3 linked regions of the Bombyx mori genome follow. The protein of the gene in region 2 interacts with the protein of the main gene of each other region in a biochemical or structural test. Links are inferred from orthologs where the notes say so. Each region holds a gene or a part of one and is shown on either strand. Other genes may lie near its edges.

What was found. The genes of interacting proteins can lie anywhere in the genome.
Region 1: the proteins of polyubiquitin-A (region 2) and ATPase WRNIP1 form a complex in vitro, tested with the Homo sapiens proteins (6 studies listed by BioGRID). The link is inferred for Bombyx mori from reciprocal best matches to the Homo sapiens genes UBC and WRNIP1.
Region 3: the proteins of polyubiquitin-A (region 2) and proteasomal ubiquitin receptor ADRM1 form a complex in vitro, tested with the Homo sapiens proteins (10 studies listed by BioGRID and IntAct, with this or other methods). The link is inferred for Bombyx mori from reciprocal best matches to the Homo sapiens genes UBC and ADRM1.

Annotation. Positions count from the first base shown.
Region 1 is NC_085110.1:12,984,045-12,990,563, reverse strand, and holds the start of ATPase WRNIP1, read right to left. Parts: upstream 4,317-6,519; 5' UTR 4,168-4,316; exon of another isoform or gene 3,186-4,167; intron 3,082-3,185; 5' UTR 3,056-3,081; coding exon 2,852-3,055; intron 2,558-2,851; coding exon 2,366-2,557; intron 1,631-2,365; coding exon 1,458-1,630; intron 1-1,457. Other genes in the region: protein O-mannosyltransferase 1, read left to right, coding at 4,860-4,973, 6,058-6,236, 6,512-6,519. UniProt on the Homo sapiens protein: Functions as a modulator of initiation or reinitiation events during DNA polymerase delta-mediated DNA synthesis. In the presence of ATP, stimulation of DNA polymerase delta-mediated DNA synthesis is decreased.
Region 2 is NC_085127.1:9,713,253-9,717,226, forward strand, and holds the start of polyubiquitin-A, read right to left. Parts: upstream 2,801-3,974; 5' UTR 2,670-2,800; intron 2,411-2,669; 5' UTR 2,403-2,410; coding exon 1-2,402.
Region 3 is NC_085111.1:12,300,005-12,306,653, forward strand, and holds the start of proteasomal ubiquitin receptor ADRM1, read right to left. Parts: upstream 4,317-6,649; 5' UTR 4,157-4,316; intron 3,831-4,156; 5' UTR 3,828-3,830; coding exon 3,501-3,827; intron 2,632-3,500; coding exon 2,417-2,631; intron 1-2,416. UniProt on the Homo sapiens protein: Component of the 26S proteasome, a multiprotein complex involved in the ATP-dependent degradation of ubiquitinated proteins.

The DNA of each region.
Region 1 (6,519 bases), on a different chromosome or scaffold from region 2:
AAAAGAAACGCCGCACCGGGGCGTTCGTTGATCCGAGCATCAGCTGTTTTTGATTTACTGTTCCATTGCTGGTTTTTTTTTTAGTAAAGTAATGTATTTTTTATTGGAACTTTCGTTTCATTTCGTACTAACATGATGGAGCGTAAATAATGCTAATAAAACGTTTTAAAATTTTTACTATTTTCTTGAATCAAGATCCAATTTCCGTCCCTTCATCAAAGGTGTTATTAGCACTGTCTGTCTTCGTTTTCGGAAGCGGTCTCCTAACACCCAGTAAAGTAAATCTATTTACGGCCCAATCAGTAAGATGCGCGAAATATTATTAACAAATTATAAGATTATGATGGAATTCAAGTCCTATATGGCTGTTGCCATCGCACTTCCCGCCTCCGAAACAGTTCGTATGCATTGACTTAGCTATGCCCTTGGCATTGCTTGACCATTAGCGACGGTAAGCCCTTACCAGTCGAACCGTATACTCATCTACCTGCAAAGGTCTTAAAAATACAAATTACATGGACAATGTAAGATTAACGTGATGTATTCAATTTTTTTCTACATAATTAGGTACCATTCATACCATTTTGGCTCCACAACTGCGATGCGTTCTAGATTTAAAGATGGTATATACGTTAATACAGAATCCTAAAGTTGTGTTCACACCACAAATGGTGATTTCAATGTAGGTATTTTTTTATTAAATTAATTTATTAATTAATTTAAATTTGTAGATTGTGTTGCGTGAACTAAAAGACTCCAAGGGAGATAGCGACATTTGCGTCATATCTAGAATCGTTTTTTTTTCATTACTCAGTAGCTCATGAGCGAACTGGTATTAAGTGATTATTGTAGCCCTTACCACAATACGTATAAAACATCCTCCTCTGCAACCAATTGTTTAACATAATGGTTATCCCACCTTTCTATACGGAATGCAGGACTGTTCTGCTGCAGATTTAGGTAAGATGATGGTGACCCACCTATGGGGACTGACATTACCCTATTTACTGGTACAATCGTAGTATGCTGGTGTGCATACTTAGCATAGGCAGAGACTTTGCTGTGCCTCTGGAATTGCTAACATTAATGACCTAAAGTGTCACTTGCCATCAGGTTGGCCGGATTATACCTGCTTACCAGGGCAATAAAAAAGAACATTGCTGCCCAGGCCAAACAAGCACAATTTCACTGGTGAACTCTTTTGTACTTATTACAAACATAATAATACACAAGTATTATGATTAGGAAGTTTACATGCTAAAGCTAATTAAACACTGCAATTTACACACAGTACTAGTTAATTTCTTTTCTATAAATGCCTAAATCTGCAACAATTGTAGAAATGACTCATCTGCAATTTATCATATAATAATCATATGAGATACCTAACTAAAGATGCCAGCATCACAAATATACAAATACACCTTCTTTGACCAATTCAATTTAATACCATTTACCTGTGGATTTCATCCATGAATAAAATAGTCTGGTTTTTAAATTGTGCATCATTTTTTGCTATTTTAACAATTTCCTTTACATCATTGATGCCAGATGTAGTAGCTGATAGTTTTACAAATTTTAAATTATTTTGTTTTTTACAAATATTAGAGATAACATTTGCTAATGACGTCTGAAATAATCAAGAAGACGAATAATTGAATAATTCATTGTTTTATTAAAATGACTAAGCTATGCCAGTGCCTTCACTTATAACTAGTCTAACTGGTCACATTCTTATAATCACTATGGGTATAAAAAAATATCAGTATTTTTGAAATTTATCACTTTCATCACACAATGATGCTACATGAGCGAAACCTTCCTTTAGTGCCAATAAGAACTGTAGTAAATTTAAACACAAATGGAAGAATGGTTTGGGAATGTGTAGAAAACAAAAAAATGTTATTTATATAGCTATTAGAGTATAATAGTAAACCTTATATCAGTGATAGACTAACAGACCTTATTTTATAACTAGGTTATCTCTGTAGTCCAGTGGTTAGTAATATTGACTGCTGATCTTAGGATTCAAATTTTTTCTTTAAGATATATAATATTTAAGGTCTGAATCTATTCACTTTCATCTCTTCAAGTGTATTACTAAGGACATAAGATATGAAAATATGCTACATTGGGATTATTGAACAGGTAATATTATAACTAATCCCTCCAACTGATTCCTATTCCTTTTGCCAAACTAGAGCCTAACATATTCATAATAATGTCAGTAGATAGTCAGTCCTAAGCTTTCAATATAAATGAGATAGATGTAGAGCTTATGTCACATATTGAGAAATTGTAGAAAGAAGTCGTGAATCCCAATTCTCTACAGTATTTTTTGTTAAAATTTTTGATGTAGCATAACCTTTCCGCAGCCTGGTGGACCCCACAAAATCATGTTAGGAATCTTGTTTTGTTCAAGCATCGATCGGAGCATTGAATCTGTGCCAAATGATTGCTTTTGTCCAACAATCTGGTCCAGAGATTTTGGCCTTAAAGACTCTGATAGAGGTATTTTTATGTTTTCATTTGTGCTTATTTTTTGTGATTGTGAACTCTGTTGAAAGATTTGAATTAATTTTAAATTATGTTTTAATTTAATAACTAATAGAGATATAGTGAAGCAATTGAATTGCTGCATGCTAGCATTCCTCCATTCAGAAGTCATAGGTTCAACATCAGCATGCTATATGCATATTTGTCAGTATGTTTTAATTTTTTATGCAATATTATATTGGTATATTTAATAATAAGTGCTAGCTCCTTGTACTTGTAACTGGATCTACACAATTTTATCTATACTCTTACTGTTAAGATAATCAAAAAAATATTGTTTTTTTATCCACATCACCTTCAAGTTTGGAGGCAAAGCTGTTAACTTTTCAACTTTCTTTCTTTTTTCATTTGGAGATAATAGTTGTTGCCCTTGTCTTTTCGAATTAGATTTTTCACAAGAATTGAGAAAAAGACATTTGTTTACATGTTCCTCAATTTCGGTATTTTCAAAACTTCTATTACATATAGGACAATTCACAGTCTTTGTACAATCACTCATATTTTTATCTTTTCAATTTTATGAACCTGTAACAAGTAACTCGCATGATATAATTAAATTTACTGAACTTATGTAGAGGTATACTTACTTCAAATAAAATATCAATTAAATTTTTTAAAGATTTTATTACCTGGTGAAGAGACCTTCAAGCCAAGTCTTATATTTTCTTATTTTGTTTTCATATGAAAATTTGGGATGATACAAAAAAAGGAGATGGGATAAATAAAGAAGGTAAAATGGTGGTTATATTACTATAAGACTTTTTCAGTGCACTTTTTGGAAGAACCTGAGACCCAATGTCCAGCGCATTTATTTCACTTTCCCTCCCTCATCAGTGATTAGTGCACTTTCAGAGATATTGAACAGTTAATAATTCACCGATAAAACACGTCAAAACCCTAAGAAACTAAATTGACAAAATTCACACAGCTTCGCTTCTCGCATTCCCGCCAAAAAAGTTCAAGTAGTCCCACCCAATAGTTTCTTCTTTAGTTTTTGGATCCGGCACGGTTTGTGCATTAGCCAGCGTCAAGTAATAAGATTTTTATGGTACTTATTAACTCCATGGATTTTTATAATTCGCCGTTTTATTTATTTAAAGTTTATGAATAATAAAAAACGAAGGAAACTTAATCAATTGGCATGAACTTAAACAAATGAGATAAGATTATATGAGATGAGATGAAATATAATCTCAGTAAAATGGTGGTCATTTACTGAGACTTTTTCAGTGGACTTTTTGGAGCATCCCAAGAAGTTACATTCAGCAGCTTTGTTTCATTTTTCCACATGTGTGCACTTTCACAAATACTAAATAGTCAAGAAACCACCGTTATTACACATTTAAACCCGAATAAACACTAAAATAGACAAAATAAAACAAATCACAATTCACTCCTCACGTTCTCGCCAAAAAGTCCCCACCATGTTTATGTATTATAAGCTATATTGCAACAGAAAGGCAAATCATCAAAAGGAACATAGGTCGCACAGTCTGATCCTACTTTGTTTTGACGTCGTCATGGCTAAGTGTCACCCGGTGCATTCGTATCAAGCGATGCGACTGGACAAGCGTTCAAGGAAGGTACCAATTATTCTACCGAAACACATACTTGATACTTATTACGGTTCATGAATGATTTCTATGATGAAGGAATAACATTGTATCATAAAAATTCTGCAAAAGTTTTCATTTCGATAAATCAGGGCGAGGTGAGCCCGCACTGGTAGAACTCATGTCATAATGTGGGTGATGGCATTTATGTTTCAAATGTCTATGGGCTCTCCGGTATCACTTTCGACGTCACAGCTCATCCACCCTTTTATGTTTTAAAAAATACCGTAGACAGGGCGTTAGTTCTAATAAAATGGAGTTAATAAGGTAATGAAAAAATCAAATATTAGGAATATGAAAAGACCAAAATGTAAAAGAAAATATTATGAAATTAAATGTGTTGAGATTAAATAATTTTATTTAATCTTTCAGTAAAATGGTGAGAATTTATTCAAGTTAGTTACAAAATCTATTCCAATTAATGACGTTTCATGCTTTCATGCTCGTTCTCAGCTGAAAGGGTTTTTTTTGAAAGATGGTATGATGTATGTGTATGCCTGTATGGTCTAAGTTCCCTTAGGCAAATTAAGTGTAGGTAGTAGATACTTATTTACTTACCTACTAAAAACACTTGCACTGAAATGAAAAATTTAACTTTCATCAATCGAATTTTATGTTGAATAATATTTGACGAACCGCATTCTATGTACTTAAATATTCTAATGTTAATTATAATTCAATACAGAAATAATGGACACAGGACGGTGTGTTAAAAATCGTAAAATAAACAAGATTCGTAAGGAGGTCACAGAACCTCAGGAGTACAGTTATTCGGAGAAAACATGTAATTCCCATCGAGAAGTGGCAAGTAAATTTGTTTTAATTTCGTAATTAATATTTACAAACCATAAGCACAATAATTCGTAATTTATGACTTAGAAACTTCACCAAACTTCGTATATTTATTAATTTAATCCTTGGCTCATTTACAAAACTTAATTAAATAGTAAATGCGAATCGTTGATTAGATATAGATTGTAATAAATTTTTTTTCCCAGTTGTGATTAATGACTCGCGTTAGTAATTTATATTTAATTTCCGATGTTTCGAATCATATCGAGGGCTATTTGGTTTAAGCGACATTTTTTCAACTTTACAGGAGTTGAAGTTTGAAAATTTTATAACAGAATCATAACAAAAAAAACTTCTTCAGCTATTTGAATGGGCTAAACTTAATTGAAGTTCAATTAAAAACATCTATCGATACTAAAACTAAATAAAATGGACGTTTATTTACCTTCAAAGATTAATCACATATTAGCGAAATGTCGCTTAAACCAAAATGCCTTTCACCCCTCGATATATTGAAAACTTATGTCTTCACTTATGTGGATGAAATTACTGTGTCATTGTACAACTAATAACAAATAAAGTTTTCGGGATTATTTACTCAGAAGTTTTCTTAGCATTTATGTATGAATGTTTCAGAATTTCATTGATTGAATTACAATAATTCTCATACAATATTTTTAAAAAAAATGGCAGGTACTTTGTCTTTTCATAAATCATAATCAAATACAGGTGATAAGATTATGATGACCCATCGAAATCGTTTTTATAAATTATTAGTAAGTTACTGGTAAGATTTGTTATTGTAATATAATAATTTACTGGGAATGTTATTAATTGAATTATTAACTATTACCAATTATTAACATATAAGTTATAATGCTTAAAACTATAAGCTTATAAATAGCCAAAGTAAAATAGTGCTTATAGTTCTTTAGTGAGAAGTTACAGTAAGTTAAGTAAGTTTTATAAAAGATTTACATCTTAGATGGAATTAAAGAAGGTGAAATGTTCTCTCCATTTCACCTTTTTTAATATCTCATCAACACTTTCTAATCTACCATAATTGGTTAAGAATCCTTAATCCTTCCTTTTAAAGGGCGATGGTGCCCCAGCTGAAAATGAAACTGAAAAACCAGAATTAATGCTGACGAACAAAATGAATCATTCTCCTTCACGCATATATTTACAGCTCAAGATTGATGTAATCGCAATAGGACTTCTAATATTGGCATTATGCACTCGTTTATATAAACTAGATGAACCTCGCCATATTGTGTAAGAAAAATATATACGTAATTATCAAAGTTCACGAGTAATACTTTTTGTGTTGTGTTTTAAATTGATTGAATTTTTACCTGCCATCTGTTTTAACTCTTTTACCTAATAGCTAGTATGAGAAGATAAAAGCTTGACATTTTAACTATCTTGCATCATGCCCCTAAATCATAATTTTTATTTCATAATAATACTATGCTTGTTTAATTTGTTTCAAATTCAGCTTTATTGTAATGAATTTAGGTATTAAAATACTTACGAGTTTCATGTTTCAGATTTGATG
Region 2 (3,974 bases):
TGCTGATCTGGGGGAATTCCCTCTTTATCCTGAATCTTGGCTTTCACATTCTCAATGGTGTCAGATGCTTCAACTTCTAGCGTGATGGTTTTACCGGTAAGTGTTTTCACAAAGATTTGCATGCCACCTCTGAGACGTAATACCAAATGCAGAGTAGATTCTTTCTGGATGTTGTAGTCAGATAGTGTACGACCATCTTCAAGCTGTTTGCCCGCAAAGATCAATCGCTGCTGATCTGGGGGAATTCCCTCTTTATCCTGAATCTTGGCTTTCACATTCTCAATGGTGTCAGATGCTTCAACTTCTAGTGTGATGGTTTTACCGGTAAGTGTTTTCACAAAGATCTGCATGCCACCACGCAGTCTCAAAACCAAATGCAGAGTAGATTCTTTCTGGATGTTGTAGTCAGATAATGTACGACCATCTTCAAGCTGTTTGCCCGCAAAAATCAATCGCTGCTGATCTGGGGGAATTCCCTCTTTGTCCTGAATCTTGGCTTTCACATTTTCGATGGTGTCAGATGCTTCAACTTCCAATGTGATGGTTTTACCGGTAAGTGTTTTCACAAAAATCTGCATTCCACCTCTGAGACGTAGCACCAAATGCAGAGTAGATTCTTTCTGGATGTTGTAGTCAGATAATGTACGACCATCTTCAAGCTGTTTGCCCGCAAAAATCAATCGCTGCTGATCTGGGGGAATTCCCTCTTTGTCCTGAATCTTGGCTTTCACATTTTCTATGGTGTCAGATGCTTCAACTTCTAGTGTGATGGTTTTACCGGTAAGTGTTTTCACAAAGATTTGCATGCCACCACGCAGTCTCAAAACCAAATGCAGAGTAGATTCTTTCTGGATGTTGTAGTCAGATAATGTACGACCATCTTCAAGCTGTTTGCCAGCAAAAATCAATCGCTGCTGATCTGGGGGAATTCCCTCTTTGTCCTGAATCTTGGCTTTCACATTTTCGATGGTGTCAGATGCTTCAACTTCCAATGTGATGGTTTTACCGGTAAGTGTTTTCACAAAAATCTGCATTCCACCTCTGAGACGTAACACCAAATGCAGAGTAGATTCTTTCTGGATGTTGTAGTCAGATAATGTACGGCCATCTTCAAGCTGTTTGCCCGCAAAAATCAATCGCTGCTGATCTGGGGGAATTCCCTCTTTGTCCTGAATCTTTGCTTTCACATTTTCAATGGTGTCAGATGCTTCAACTTCTAGTGTGATGGTTTTACCGGTAAGTGTTTTCACAAAGATTTGCATGCCACCTCTGAGACGTAACACCAAATGCAGAGTAGATTCTTTCTGGATGTTGTAGTCAGATAATGTACGACCATCTTCAAGCTGTTTGCCAGCAAAAATCAATCGCTGCTGATCTGGGGGAATTCCCTCTTTGTCCTGAATCTTGGCTTTCACATTTTCGATGGTGTCAGATGCTTCAACTTCCAATGTGATGGTTTTACCGGTAAGTGTTTTCACAAAGATCTGCATGCCACCTCTGAGACGTAATACCAAATGCAGAGTAGATTCTTTCTGGATGTTGTAGTCAGATAGTGTACGACCATCTTCAAGCTGTTTGCCCGCAAAGATCAATCGCTGCTGATCTGGGGGAATTCCCTCTTTGTCCTGAATCTTGGCTTTCACATTTTCGATGGTGTCAGATGCTTCAACTTCTAGTGTGATGGTTTTACCGGTAAGTGTTTTCACAAAGATCTGCATGCCACCACGCAGTCTCAAAACCAAGTGCAGAGTAGATTCTTTCTGGATGTTGTAGTCGGATAGTGTACGGCCATCTTCAAGCTGTTTGCCCGCAAAGATCAACCGCTGCTGATCCGGAGGAATTCCCTCTTTGTCCTGAATCTTTGCTTTCACATTCTCAATGGTGTCAGATGCTTCAACTTCTAGTGTGATGGTTTTACCGGTAAGTGTTTTCACAAAGATCTGCATGCCACCTCTGAGACGTAACACCAAATGCAGAGTAGATTCTTTCTGGATGTTGTAGTCAGATAATGTACGGCCATCTTCAAGCTGTTTGCCCGCAAAGATCAATCGCTGCTGATCTGGGGGAATTCCCTCTTTGTCCTGAATCTTGGCTTTCACATTCTCAATGGTGTCAGATGCTTCAACTTCTAGTGTGATGGTTTTACCGGTAAGTGTTTTCACAAAGATCTGCATTCCACCTCTCAGACGTAATACCAAATGGAGAGTAGATTCTTTTTGAATATTGTAATCGGATAATGTCCGTCCGTCTTCAAGTTGTTTCCCAGCGAAAATCAGTCGCTGCTGATCTGGAGGAATGCCCTCTTTGTCTTGAATTTTTGCTTTTACATTTTCTATGGTGTCGGATGCTTCGACTTCTAATGTTATGGTTTTACCAGTGAGAGTTTTTACAAAAATCTGCATGGTGGTTTCTAGAACAAAGAAGGAACTTTAATGAAGATTGACGGATGAATTCCCTATTTCGGAGTATTAAATGGATTGACGAACAAAACAAAAGAACAAAGACTTTTAGTCATCACAAAATGGCGACGATCATAAATTACATCGTCATTGTTTCAGATTTTTTTGTGTGTACAAATGACAAACTTGATTTTCAAACTTTTCTTGTTGACAATAATTATTTCATGCAGTAGAGTTGTGATATTTTTGAAAAATTGAAATATTTCCTACCTTTTTGGAATTCACAAAAATTATTAAAATTATCACAAATTGTAGGACACGTCGTGCAACTAGGTAGCTCTTTCACGAATGAATGAAATTCAACTTGACTCTTGAAAGCAGAATAAAGAATTTTATGACCTGGTAACTAAGACTTTTAGGTCAAGTCTTATTTTAATTATAATGAAAACTTTTTATATGAAAAAAGATATTATGAAATGAAATAAAGTTGATTAATATGAAACATGGTGTGAAATGAAATGAAATGAATGAAATGAGATGAGACGAGACGAGACGAGATGAGTTGAGTTAATTTAATGAATAATATAATAAATTAAAAATTCCATGTATTCCCTTCAGGCTTGTATTTTAGGATTATTCTCGATCACTATTTTAGGAAGTCGTTGCCTGAAAGAAATCACTCTGAGCAATATGGCGGAATGTTGCTATACGTATTCAAACAGTTTTTAAGCTTTGACGATTGTTTTATGTTTTGAAAAATATCTATCATAAATTAATATGTACTTTAGGACACATAAATTTATTTTCACTTAAGAAGTAATAGTAAAACTTATGCAAAGGCTTAAACAAGTTTTTATCTCTAATATATCGATTAGCCCACCAAAAGGCTTGGTGAAAACGTACAGCTGATATGTGCGAGTGCGGTGAAAATTCAATCAGCTTGTAGGAGTTGTAAATGAGAATAATAGAAAAGTTAGAGCTAGAAGAACAGCTGGTTGCCGGCGATACTCATTTTTTTATTACTTATTTATTTATTGTTAGCATAGAAGTAGAAAGACAGTCTTAATTTGCATCTGTGCTTGAATTAGGTGATGAAACCTGTATCTCAAGCAGCAGTGCTCCTCGTTCGGAGTGGGGAGCAGAAGATGGTGAATTGCTGAACGAAATGATGGCAGAGCTTTGAACGATTACATTTTGTTCACCTATAGGGCGTTGATTGTAGCAGCAGTTCATCAGAATAAATAAGCTAGGCAAGAATACTTTCGAATTAACACATAAAAAATGCTAGAGTTTTTTCAAACACTTTTAATCTTAAGTATTTGTGGTTTTTTTTCGTAATAGATACAATAGCCAATGGCCCATATGACGGTAAGTACTGATCGATGCTCATGGACACTGGCAATGCTATACTCCTTTCAAACCTTGATTGAACAAGAAGATTTCATAGAGCTCAGGAAACACCCTTGAGAGGTGTTCATTTTAAAACCGGTTTGTATGATCAGTGAAAATAACAATTTGAAGTAGTAAGGATTCGAAGGGGAATATCGATAATCCGAAAATTCATCAACAAATCAT
Region 3 (6,649 bases), on a different chromosome or scaffold from region 2:
GGTAGCATTCTCATTGTGACATCTATGGGCTCCTCCCACAGCTCAATTCAAATTTCCATTCAAGTAAAAAGCACCCTTTATAGAAACTGCTAAGTAAAAGTAAGTGTAATTCCTCATTTTTGGCTTATCCATAAATGTGACTTTTAATTACAATTCCATAAAGACTAAATTCCGTTGCATTATTAACTGATGACTTAAATTAATATTAATTTCGATATTATAATAGCCGGCAAACTTCTTGAGCATTTGTTGACGTAGTGGGGGTAAGTTCGCGCATGGTACACTCACGTACAAAAACATTATTTACTCTGCGTCATAATGCAATTAAATTATTAAAATCAACATATATATTTATTTATATACTTATTAGAACATCAACAAAAAATATAGGTTAATAATTGTAATAATTTAATCTTGCGGTAAAATAAATATTCCTTCTATTAAGTCATAACTAGAGCTGTTGCCAGGACTTGGTTCAGTTGAAGCGAAGCTGGTATTTGTAATTTTTTTTTCGTTATCATAATCTTGACCATCATCATCAATCACTGTTTTCATTACCCGAGTCGCTATCATCGTGATGAGTCGACATAGGGCTCATCGGTGTAGTTTCGGTCGGTTCGGTCTACTTTTTTGTCTATAATTAATTATTTTTTGAAGATATTCGATTCGTAGTAATCGAATGTAACTTTTTTCAATTACCAGCTTCCGATTATTTTCTGGTTTTTTTTTCCATCTGAAGCCTAGCTCTTTCATAATTCGTTTCCATTAAAATTTATATCTTCTTTAAATTTTTCGAAGCCTTTCTACGGTAAGGAGTTTCGCTGCTTGTTATGTAGTTATTATGATTACATCTTTTTATTAGATTGAACGAAACTATCCATTCCGGTAACTTTATTCTTCCCTGATCTTTTCTTACCCGGAGTCCGAAACACGGCGAGCAAGCCAGAGCCTTTAGCTTCGTTAATAATGCACCTAACAGTACTCACGGATGTTTTTGTTGCTTCCGAAGTCTGTTTTACTTTTCCATATCATTCTTCCTCTGTTTTATAATGAAGCAACATACGTCGTACATATTTTTTCTACCCTTTCTTTTGAATACTACACCAGTTTGTCGCGGCATAGTGTATTTTTTATAAAAAATCAACAAACAGCAATGGCAACAAAGTCAACAAGCAATTATAACAAATAACTTAACGATTAATAACGATAGACTTTTCACTGTACGCAAGCGTACTTTTGGGAGCAAGCGGAACGAGGGCGCGTTGCGGGGCGCAAGGTTCGACTGATCTACCAATAACGCGCTCGATACAATTTCCCCTGCCGTCGCGCCTCACCCTCACCACCAAAGTGATATAAAATTCGGTTCTGCGCAGTCAAGGTCATTTGCTCAAGAAGTTTGCCGGTTACTTTACCAGGGGTGTAAAAGGTTTTTTTTAAATTGAATGCAATCAATTCAATACTTCTATAAACTCATAATAGATTTTTTAATCAAAATTAGGCAATTATAAGCTGTTTATCTTCTGCTGATAAAATTAATTGTAAATTATTATAATACACAAAAATATGTGAGCAAACAAATTTTAATAAGCCAAACTGAACATTCATGACATACAGGTTTTTTTTTTATTGCCCTTGTAGGCAGACAAGCATACGGCCCACCTGATAGTGAGTGGTTACCGTCGCCCACGGACTTCAGCAATGTCAGAAGCAAAGCCAAGCCGCTGCCTACCGAAAATCATCTTCTCCATACAGCGAAGCAAGAGATATTTAATATCTAGCACTCCAGAAAACAAGACTGCACATATATTATATTAAATTACTCCATATTCCAAATTATTTATGTTTACTATTCACTATTATCATTTATTTATAAAGTAGGAAAAAGATAATGGTGTCAAAGAAAGATCTTTTTTTGTAATTGTTTGACTTTTATGTATTTTCATGATTACATTTTGATAAAAAATTTATGATGTATGCCTGTTTTATTACAAATGCATTGTTTGTTTTTTTTAAGATGATTTATTGGTTAAGGTTATTGGTTCCATCAATACTTAACCTGCTGATCTAAAATTTTGATGACATACTTATTGTCATAAAACTTAACTAAGGCAGACTTAAGAGAAAACAAAGTTTGTGCAAAAAACACTTAACTGATTCATGATGCATTTGCAAATCAATATAGAATGTATTTGAGGAACAAAAATGAATTCTAATACATTTTGAATTTTCAAGAAGCAGTTGAAAATGCTTTTAGAGATCATACTCTTAAAACTGGTTGAAATTGATCATCACAACCAAATGTAAGGTTAAATATGCAATATTTTTTTTATATTTACATTAGTGGCGAGAATGAGCTAAAATTGATATACTTATTGTGCTACTTATACTATTATAATATTATTAGCATAATATTTACCCCATTGTTCCTAAGAGAGAAGTAATTCCTCCCACTGGACCAACACCTCCAAATAATTGCATTAGCTGTTGTTGAGACATATTGTTGAGTAAATTACGTATTTCACGATCTTGCCCACCACTACTGCTTCCTCCACGCCCACCAGATGTAGGAGGATTGTTTAATGCTTCATTAATGCGCCGACAGTATTCTTCATCCTTGTCAGCCTTTGGCTCCTGAAAGGGCTTTCATTAATTTCTTTATCATAGAGTTTCATAGTTCAATAAGTTTTACTAATAGACTGTCATGTAGGAAGTAATTTGGAGGTCCTGATAGGTCGTCTTGTCAGTCTACATTGGTAGGTGCCACAATCTTGCCTATTTTTACCATGAAGCAGTTAAGCAGTCTGGAAAGGTGAGGCAACTGTTTTACTGTAAAAATATATCTCATGGTGGGTGTAGGCATATAACATCTACAGATGTTCTGGTAACTACTGCGCACCAAGTGGGTGGTGCACTCTAAGCAATAACCTCGTTTAAGTAATAAAAAAACGTTTATATAAATATAAAATATGTTTGTTAAAAAACTAGAAATTTCTTGGTTCTTGTAAAAATAAAAAGTCTAAAAGTGTGATTAGAAAACAAAATAAGCTATAAATCTCAATAAAATAGAAATACATATCATTAAATATTTTTTCTATAAAATAACAATTCTTCTTTAAGTGAGAATATTTTATATGATAGTAAAATTGCTACAATACTACTGAATAGTCAAGATGTCAGACTTTTAATCAAGAGAAATCAATATAAAAATCTAGTCTCTCAATCTATACAATTTTGACTTGGCAATCCAAAAATCTACCATTCTAAAGTACAGCTGAAATCAAACTGGCAATATTTTTTTTTAGAAACCATTGCCATAATTGTAGATTACAATGATTAATTAGTAAACAAATTTAAATGTTGCATCATGATTACTGTTTTTTAATACTTTACACAATAAATTAGCAACAATTTTTACCAAATTTATTTATATTTTTCACTAAGAAATTTACGGTCATCTCATGACAAACAGTTTTAAGGTTATAATATGTGTACTTTCAGACCTGCATCCAGAAGAAGCACTTCTTCGAAAACAACTTGAACTTGAGTACATAAACTCGGCCTGTGGTGCATTCATTCACACGCGTAAATTCACAATCATCAGGAAATATAAGCAAGTCATCCTCAACCTCCCCCGTAGTTCGGTCTTTCCAACAAAAGTGCATGAGAGAATCTTCTCCTTGGTAAACATACAAGAGCCCCTTCCTTTTGTCTGGATGTACCATACGACCTTTCAACGTCATACGACCAGCACGAAATTCTACTATGTGTTTGTTTCCTCCTGAACTTCCCCCAAGACCAGACGTATTGCCAAACAGTGCAGTAGACATTTTCTAAAAAAAAAAAACAAATCTGATCAAACCACAAATGGCGGAGACGGCAGGAACGAAAATAAATACATTTGATAAAAATGCAATTAAATAATTAATCACTTATCAAAGGAATTTAAATCCAGATCTTAATAACTTACATTTTAAAATTAATAGAGATTAAAAAACATAAGATGAACTTAAATGCCCAAAATCGAAATTTTATAAGTTAATAAATGATAACAAGTATGTACTAAGTACTGATATAAAATTTACTAGTATATAATGGATGTAGGTTATGCACTCAATTAAAATACAGCAGTGTTGTGGAGAAATTATTGTTAACTTACACTATGATATGCAGTGTCACTGTGAACCCTTAAAGTACTTTAACCCTTTACAGTAAACTGTTTGAAATAGTTTGAATAGAGTGACGACAAATATATTGAAGTAGGCAAGTACGAAATGTAAAATGACGCCGATGACTAGCACCTTTACTTTTTTTTTAAGGGATTTTATGACCTGGTAACTGAGACCTTTAAGTCATGTCTTATTTTAATTTATATTCATTTTTATGAAAAATGATATTATGGAGTGAAATGAAATGAAGACGACTAATTTGAGACATTAATCAACTGGGGTAAAATTAAATGAAATGAAATGGGATGAAATATAATCTCAGTAAAATGGTGGTCATTTACTAAGATTTTTTCAGTGGACTTTTTGGAGGATCTCGAGAAGTTACGTCCAGCGGCTTTGTTTCATTTTCCCACATTTGTGCACTTTCACAGATATTAAACAGTTAATAAACCACCATTCTTATACATTTAAACCCGAAGAAACACTAAATAGACAAAATAAAACAAATCACACAACTTCACTCCTCGCGTTCCCGCCAAAAAATCCTCTCAAGCACCTTTAGGTATATAAAAATAGGTTATACACTTAATATTGGTAAAGTAGAGTTGCTACATAGACCAATATCGGGACACGACATATTGTTCTATACGTACAATTGTTTATATAAATAGCACCTATTTTGAAGGCACACACATAAACATATATCTATCTCGTTCTTACTCAGTACTGTAACTCGCAGGAAAACAATATAACAGTATTTCAGTGCGTACATAAAATGAAACATGAATATACGTAAATGTCTAATATGGTCTAATGAGGCCGAAAATCCGCCATGTTTAGCGCACCAAATGTCATTGTCACGTCAGTTCAGCCGTCTGTTTTGAGTTGTACATTATTTATTGACTTTGATATCGATATAATATGATTGCTTATATAAAATTTCTTATTTTATCATGCTACCCCGCTTAAAACATACAAAAATAATAATTAAAACATATTTTATAGGATCTCAAGAAAGTCGATGCCCCAAAACTATTATCTACATATATTTAAATTCATTATGGAGCACTCATCCCAAAAATCGGACACCATTTTGAGGTCGGAATCTATTGATAATGACACTAATCATAAATACCTCTTAATAAAATGTGTCATCAAAACATATTTAGACACTCTGTTTAGATATTTCGGGCAAAAGGCTACCGACAAAATTTCTCTTCGGAACTATTTAAATAAAATAGTTTTATTCCGTAGCGAGTAAAACACTATTGTAAATTCATTAATTTTTTAATAATTAAGTGTATTTAGAGGGGAAGTCACAAGGAATGACGTTTGTAATTAAATAAATGTTCTGTAGGTGCTTTTTATCACGCGGTCCCTTGATAAGTTTAAAATTTGAATCACTCTCGAGAGTGATTCAAATGTTGCGGCGCACCTACCTTGAGGTTCGCTGCGGTAGTGTGTTACGGACTTTAGAGTCAGCAATACAATTAAAATAGATTGTAATAGTAAAATAGATTGTAACCGCTGCACGTTCAAGTTAAGGGTTCGGCGAATGCTGTTGGAAAAGTTAGCGGAATCGTCATGAACTTGATGAAGTTATTTGTTAAGGAAATTTATTCCTTTTAATACTGTATAAACTATTATATGTATGTATGTGTGTATATATGTATGTATGTATGTATATGTGATTTTGTATATATGTAGATATACTTTTTTTGTATGTATTCGTTACCTAATATAAATTTCATTGCACCTACCACTATTTACTCTGCACTACCTTTGGTTGACTGGTAGAGAATGCCTTAGGCATTAAGTCCGCCAATGTAAATTTTACATGAAGTGTAATAAATAAATAAATAAATAAATAATAGGGAGGTAAGTAGTCTAAGAAAAACACGTACTCTTATTTTCATATCCAAAACAGCATAGCTAGCATGCTAACGTTTTATCGCCGACATAAAGCTTTAATCCCTTTCCAGCATAAACGCAAGTGCGAGCGAGACGGCAACATACGAAACGACGATAACATTTAGCATGCTAGAAATGCGCAGATGGCACTGTACTGCGCCGCCGCCTTGGGTCCTGGAGGCGGAGGCGCTCGCTGCTGACTATCAGTGGCGGGCTGACCTTCGTATCCGGGGCGTGGCACGTCCCAGCCCCAGTGTGGTCAGAGCGCGGAGGGCCCAATCTCGGCGGTCCGTGCTGGAGGCATGGTCCAGACGGCTGGCCGATCCTTCGGCTGGTCGTAGGACCGTCGAGGCGATTCGCCCGGTTCTTGTGAATTGGGTGAATCGTGACAGAGGACGCCTCACTTTCCGGCTCACGCAGGTGCTCACTGGGCATGGTTGCTTCGGTGAGTTCCTGCACCGGATCGGAGCCGAGCCGACGGCAGAGTGCCACCATTGTGGTTGCGGCTTGGACACGGCGGAGCACACGCTCGTCGCCTGCCCCGCATGGGAGGGGTGGCGCCGTGTCCTCGT